Linked DNA regions of Notamacropus eugenii. The protein of the gene in region 2 interacts with the protein of the main gene of each other region in a biochemical or structural test. Links are inferred from orthologs where the notes say so. Each region holds a gene or a part of one and is shown on either strand. Other genes may lie near its edges.

Evidence for each region. The genes of interacting proteins can lie anywhere in the genome.
Region 1: the proteins of LRRK2 (region 2) and YWHAB interact on a protein array, tested with the Homo sapiens proteins (2 studies listed by BioGRID and IntAct, with this or other methods). The link is inferred for Notamacropus eugenii from reciprocal best matches to the Homo sapiens genes LRRK2 and YWHAB.

The regions. Positions count from the first base shown.
Region 1 is NC_092872.1:521,249,290-521,253,042, forward strand, and holds the start of YWHAB (14-3-3 protein beta/alpha), read left to right. Parts: upstream 1-1,580; 5' UTR 1,581-2,505; intron 2,506-3,730; 5' UTR 3,731-3,753. UniProt on the Homo sapiens protein: Adapter protein implicated in the regulation of a large spectrum of both general and specialized signaling pathways. Binds to a large number of partners, usually by recognition of a phosphoserine or phosphothreonine motif.
Region 2 is NC_092874.1:212,969,462-212,973,214, forward strand, and holds the start of LRRK2 (leucine-rich repeat serine/threonine-protein kinase 2), read left to right. Parts: upstream 1-1,258; 5' UTR 1,259-1,418; coding exon 1,419-1,572; intron 1,573-1,840; coding exon 1,841-1,926; intron 1,927-1,932; exon of another isoform or gene 1,933-3,753. UniProt on the Homo sapiens protein: Serine/threonine-protein kinase which phosphorylates a broad range of proteins involved in multiple processes such as neuronal plasticity, innate immunity, autophagy, and vesicle trafficking.

The DNA of each region.
Region 1 (3,753 bases), on a different chromosome or scaffold from region 2:
CATCCCCTTTCGAACCTGGCGTGGTACCCAGGGACCAGCTGGGCCCCGAGGTCAGGCTGCTTGCAGCTTGTTGCCTGAGCCCCGCGTTTTCTGCATCGAAATAAATCAAATTGTTTAATAAAACACGGGTGTTTTCTCCGTCCTCAGCTTCTGGCTTGGCCCACTGTGGGTGAGTAAGGGGTTTAACCTTGGGAAGCGCAGACGGAAATGAGCCCCCACCCTCCGCTTTGCAGTAAAGCCATTTCACCGTTCGGTGGTTACGGGGTTCTGCCAGTGCACTGGGTGTCGGGCAAGCCCGGAATTACGGCTGGAATTAAGAAAATGCAGATCTTTACGCAGATTGAGACAAACGTGTTTCCAGTAAAAAACAGAGACCAGAAAATGGGACATTTTCCCCTGGGGAATACTAATTTAATAGCTAGGGGGTTTTTGTTTGTTTTTAGTTCTGCCCGGCAGGCACTTACCTTCAGGGCCCAGTCACGTTTTGGGGTTGGGATTTGTGGAATGGATGAGAGTGAGTGACGGGGATAGCTTCCCCTCCTCCCCTCACCCCCCAGAAAGGCACTGCCTGTGGCAAATGGAATCTTAATATGTAATGGTTTGTGGTGGCCAAATTAGTAAGGTTGTCTGCCTACCTGTAAAAATCCTACACTCCTCCTCCTGCCCTAATCGCATTCTCTTTGTTAGGAATAGATAGTATCAGGCTCAGGTTTTACTTGCCCTGTGTGGGTGGATGGGATTTGGCCAGATTTTGTGAATCTGGAAAGGCTGAGAAAAAGCCGAAAGGTCACGCATGTAAATCTATGGAACGATGAAAAACCATTTACATAGACATGAATACATGGCAACCTGGGAGCTTGGAAGTTAGATTTTTACTTTCAGTCTGTCCGAATTTTGGCCTTGTGCTATATGCTACAGACTCCTCCCTGTATGTGTACCTCACTGTTGGCTGGAAGATTTCTTCCAGGTCTTCTCATTTTTCTTGAATTCCTGCTGAGGGTAGCACAGGAAAAGCTGAGAATAAAACCATATGAATTTTTATTGGGCTGTTTTAATCTAGGGCATGAAGTCTGACCTCCAAACTCAAAAGGCCAATTCACTACCACTGGATTCCAATTGTCAGCTCACCTGGTGAGATTAGACACTATTAACCCATTTAAAAAAAAAAAAAAGAATTCATAAGAAGTGTGATTTGACCTAGACCACACATTAAGCCTTAATGGTCCTTAGTCACAATTAGGTATTCATATGGGCAAATGTAATTCTTCGAGTTATGGTTAAAATTGGGCCATCATACAGTAGTTATGGATACTGATACCATTTTAGAACTAGAACATTGTAGATCAGGTGGAACAACAGAGCTGACTGGGTAAATTCCTGAGTAGACAGGCTAATAGAGATCCAGAGCTCAGGTCACTTGCAGCAAAAAATGGAGGTTGCATATCAGATGCCTTCAGCTGTGATCCAGCCCAGTTGTAAACATGTTGCTTTCATAGTAGTACAATCAGGAAATTCAGGTACTTTTTGTGTATTAATACAGATGTTTCTTCTGCTTGTAATACCTTTCTCTCTTGAAACAGGGACTGACCGTTGAGTCTGGAAGACCTGGGTTCAAGTCCAGCCTCTGATATTAGTCGTGTGATCCGGAGCAAGTTACTTAAAATTTTTGTTGCCCCACATGGTTCTCTAAGGCCAAAAGTTGTTGAATAATTGCTGATCATTAGCATTGGTTGAGAGTTTCTTCCCTAGGAGTTCCCTACACAGTGAAATCACAAGTCTAGACTAAAAAATCTCAAGTTTGAACTAAACCCTTATTATTATAGACATTAACTAATTGGAGGGAAATCATTTTTGGATCTTCAATTTAGTGAACAAGTCATATGGTCAAATAAAGTAATTAGACATAAGAATAGCATTTTTTTCCTGCTTGTAGGATTTTTTTAAAAAAACTGCTGTTCTGTAAAAGGACAGAATATTTGGAATATCACTTTACTTTTTGGCATACATCATGTCATAAGTGGTACTGAAAATAACATCTTCATGATCAATCATTTCCTGGGATCAGGAAATTATACTTGTCCAGTCACTCACTTTTCATTAAATAAGAAAAGAAACCATCTGAATAAGCAATATAGCTCAACACGTTGTATAGCCCTTCACAATGAACAGCAAATGCTTTCGATCCTTAGTGTGTTCTTCTTGTGCTGTGTTAAAATACAGAATTGTGTTTAAGCAAGAAATTGATTATGAAGACAAAATCTGTGGGGTACATATGGACTGTCTTTCAAAGGGATTTGTGAAGGGTTCTGGTGTGTACTAGTAGTGGGGTTTGGGGCAGCATCTACTAATAGTCAGTTTTCCAACACTGTAATTTTCTTTTTTTGCACCATATTATACATAGTAAAGCAGCAAGAAATTTGTTGGTTATTTTTAGGCTTATCAGAATCTAATAGTTTATTTTCGCAGCCCCAGAAATCCTAGGTTCTTTTCAATTGGATTTTGAAGGTATGGACTCTTAGCATCAGTTTTTCTGTACTAGCTTAATATTTTTTCTCAGGTTAAATTTCTTACAAATGTTTCTATTGGAGTAGATACCCTAATAAGCGTTGTCATCTAGTGGAAAGTACATTGGATTAAGAGCACTGAGTTATAAGATGTACTCAGCTTTGTAACAAACTCACTTAGACTAAATGATTAACTTGTTTACCTAAGGAAGGATATAGTTTCTTATCCCCCTACCTTCCTCAGAGAAACAGTGATCCTTGTAACATGCCATAAAATCACAGAATATCAGAGTTGGAAGACATCTTAAAGATCATCAGGTCATGTCCTCTGCTCAAAAAGGAGGATCTGAGTCCCAGTGAGGTAGTGACTTGCATAGTAAAAGAACCAGTATTCCTGACTTCCATTCTAACATCCTTCCCTATACTACAAAGTCTTGAGCAGTATATTATGTTCAGAGAATTAATTGACATTTGAATAACCCTTAAAGCTCTTTTCATCCATTATCATTTAGTCCTAACAACCAGAGATGGAGGTAGTGATGGAGTGGGAACAAGTGCTTACTGATTGTCCACTGTGTTTCATGCACTGTGCTAAGTACCTTATAAATATCTCATTTGATCCTCAAACTACAACCTAATGAAGTAAGTGGTGTTATGACCCCTATTCTATAGTTGAGGAAACTGAGGCAGAAAAAAGTTAAGCAACTTACCCAGGGTCCCAGAGCTAGCAAGTTTCTGAGATTATACTTGAATTCAGTTCTTGCTAACTCTGACTACTAACTCCAGTACTTTCTTTACCTCACCACCTAGTTGCCTAGTTGGTAAGGGATTTATTTATTCTAGATTATTTATTTATTCTAGATTACATAGTTAATAAGTAGAGCCAGAACTTTAACGTGGATCTTCTAAATCCCAAGACACAGTGCTCTTCCTACCATACCAGAGAGACCAGGAAAATCTAGCCATGTTTTTGGCAATCTAATAATTGAACCTAAAATGATTTTTTGGTCTTATATCATCTGTGATATATGTGACGACCTATAATGGGAAATAAATAATCTTTGCCAACTTGATTGTAAATGATTATTCCCTTTATTTGTGACTGAACTTTCTAAGGGAAATACTTAGTACCTTAGTCCACTTTTCCTGCTTGTCCCCTTAGTGACTTTTTATGTTAAAAACCAATAATCTCACAGCTTTTTCTCCTAAAATGTCTTTTAATGTAGACACATATATCTAGTTCTAATAC
Region 2 (3,753 bases):
ACAAAAAGTGAGAAAGCTAGAAATTCCTCTGGGACTGTCTTGAGAAGATTTTGAGAGTCCTTATTAGCTACTGCCAAAATAAACCAGCACATAATAGAGACAAATAACTGCAATTTATTTATCCAAGAGACACTATCAGTAGGTAATGGACATGTGTCTGACAATTCTGCAGATTTTACATATATATGTATATCTATAAATACATAGAAAGTCTATATATGCGTGAATATATACATATATACGTAGACTCTATATATGTATATATATGCGTGTATGGGCATCTAGACAGGACAGTGGATAGAAGGAGGAATGGAGAGGGAGGGAGAGAGAGAAGTTTTTTTTATGTTAATGCAGCATCATTTACCTGTCTTCAGAGAAATTAGATGGGATGCAATTGTCACATTTGTCTATATCTCCAATATATTTGTCAACATCTCTAACATTTCAGGAAATATCTCTGGGCTTCTGGGGAGAATTTAACATCTTTTCAAATGCCTCCTCCAATGGCTCAAACCCAAGAATCACAACAAAATCCATGTGATAAAATTGAAGTTGGTCTCATCCAAATTAAAAAGCAAAACAAAAAATCCCGAGCTCAGGCAGTTTCTTTTGGACAGTGATTGCCATCCCCAAATTCCAGAGCCATGCCTTTATTTGCATTCTCTCACTGTTGTGAATTCTTCATGCCAAAGGTTGGCTACGTTCTTAAATAGTTACAAAATTGAGGACACTCATGTTCAGTTAATGTCAGGATTTAAATCCCAAAGTGTTTGTCCCTTCCAAGGGACAATGCCTTTTCTAACAAAATCTTGGCTTTCTATTTGTAAGGAAGGAACTAAATTACCATGCCTTTCTTTCCTAGGTTCCCTGAGCTCTTGGAGGCTTTCTCTCCCACTCCCTCTCCAGTCTGTCTCTCCCACTCCCTCTCTGAGCTGTCACTCCCCTGTAGCAATCTCTTGCATTCTAACCAGAATTCCTCTGCTCTGCTGGTTAGGGCTAAGTAATCCTTAATCTTTTAAATCCAGCCTACTGGAGTCCATCTGCCTTGGTCTCTGGGCAGGTCAGTACTCCTGGGGACCAGAATCCAGGCCCGACTGGTGCTCTAGTTGCAGTAATTTTGGATTTATGACAGACTGGATTAGAAGATGCCAGGATTAGCGGCTTCTAGCGGCTTCCTCTTATCTCCTCCCCTCAAAGTTTGCATCGAATTCATTTTCCGGCCCTGGGGTGGGGCGCTAGGAAGACGTAGAAGGAAGGGCGGGGTAGGGGCTGTTTTCCCAAACAGGCCAAAGCCACAGAGCATGCCTGCATTGGGGACTTTCTGGAATCCGCTGGGTCAGCCTTCCCCAGTTCAGTCTTGGAGCACTCCGGCTCAGAGTTAGGGGCAGGGGGCACCTCGGGAAGGAGTCGGGTCCGTCATGGCCAGTGGCTGCAGCCTCGGGGATGAAGAAAAAGAAGAGGAAACTCTGAAGAAATTGATAGTTAGGCTGCAAAATGTGCAGGAAGGAAAACAGATAGAAACCCTGATCCAGATACTAGAGGATATGCTGATGTTAACGTACTCTGATCACGGTAATCCTGTAGTTGTTTCCTTTTTTTTTTTAAACTTGGGGCAAATATGGCAATAGAAGGAATATAACCACGTCCGTAAAAGCACGGGCCCTTCCAAGGAATCTTCTTGCAGACAGTTTTCTGCATTGGCTCAGCCTTTTCGGGGAGCACAGATCGCTTTTAGGAAAAGAATTGAAAACGAAAGGACTTGCTTTCTCTTATTTTCTTTCATTCTTCTGCTTTTAAAAAGCTGCAGCGAATAATAGTTTTCGTTTGTTTTCTTCCCCAGCTTCCAAGTTATTTAAAGGCAAAAATGTCCATATGCCTTTGCTGCTTGTTTTGGATTCCTACATGAGAGTCGCAGGTGTGCAGCAGGTAAAATACGCTTGATTTTATCTTTTCCCTTTCCTTTTTGGAAAGAAATATTTTAAACTCAAAGATCTTGGGAGAAACTGTCCTAATGAACCCCTTATATACTTGGTCTTATTATTAAGAATACACTGTTTTTGTGCTTGCTGTGATTTTTAAAATGGTGAGGGTGTTAAATGTTTTTTGAACATTTTTTTTAGTGCAAAAGGATAGTGACTCATTGAACTAGCCTTTAAATAATAGCATAAAATACATTGACAGATGACAATTGTAGTGGAATTGTTGGAGGAGGGAGCTAATAAGGTGGAGAAGCCGGTAGGTATTAGGGGAATGAAGATGATCTCAGGTGAGAAATAAATGTATGAATACAAATATTTAACCATTTATCATGGTTCAAAGTGTAGTACTGTAGCTCATATGGCCACTAAAATATTTAGCCAAGTTAATCAGTTGTGTTACATATTGTCACACAACAAAAAACTCCTTTTTATCTTTGCATTTCCCGCAACAGTACAGTGTCTTTTACTTGGTAAGTCCTATGTTGCTGTTCAGTCCTGTCTGACTCCTGACTCTTTGCGATCCTGTGGACCATACATGGTTGTTTTCTTTTTTGTTTTGTTTTGTTTTGTTTTTGGCAAAGATACTGAAGTTGTTTGCCATTTCCTTCTCCAGTGGATTAAAGCAAATAGAGATTAAATAACTTGTTTTAAGTCACACTGTTAGTAAGTGCTTGGGGTCATATTTGAACTCTGGTTTTCCTGATTTCAGACCTAGTCTAACTACTTAGCTTCCTCTAAGTGCTTAAAAATGTGAAACCGAATTAAGATATTAGCTATATTGTTAAGATCCTCACTTGGGATATAAAATTTTTCCTTAGTACTGTTCAAAAGATCTTAGATGTAGAACTGGAAGTAATCTCAGGAGTTATCAAATCTAATTCATGTTACAAGTTAGGAAACGGAGTCACAAAGGATAACTAATTTGATCTAGGTCACTCAGACATTAATATTAGAGGGAAGGTTCCAGACCCAAGCCCTCTGACTCCAAATCCACTTTGTCATACATATAGATTGGACTCAGTAATATCTCTTATTGCTACTCTTCTTTGTTTCCATCCATTGACTGAGTTTGCTTTGCAGTATCTAGAGAGTGCTTTTGTGCAGTGCTAACACTGCAAGTTATATTTCATTTGTATTTTATGATCAAGTCCAAAGACAACTAGGTAATTTTGTGTAGTACTTTACATGGCAAGAAAAACACATTCTCTTTTCCCCGTTACCATTTATTTTTTTTCAGTTTGAGTTGAGATGTAAGCAAAATAAAATTAAAACAAAGATATGATAAAGACTTTTTTATATTTTTCAACACTAGGTTACTATTAGACTAAAATAAAAATTTCCCCTATGGCATATTCCAATATTTCATTTCAGCAACACATTTATTAAATGATTATTTTCTATGAAGTACTGTGATAGACCTAAACATAAAGATAATTAAAACATAGTCCATGTCCTCTGGTACTTATAGATAGATTTTTGATTTTGTTGTAGTCTGATGACCTCTCATGTTAACTTTTTCAGTTAAGTAAGTTTGTGTTTATCAGGTGACCGACATTTCCCTTCTCCAATTAATGTTTGAATTAGGTCTAAGGTAATTGATGGTATCAAGAATCCTCTGGAAACAGTCTGGTGTGTAAGCTGGATTTTATCTGTACTGTCCATAGGAGTTGTTAGACTGAAGTCCTGGCATATGTCTGAAACCCTTATATCTTCCTAGACACTCTGCAGATCAGGGAGCTTAGTATTGTACCCATATCTTTCTGAGGTAGTTCAA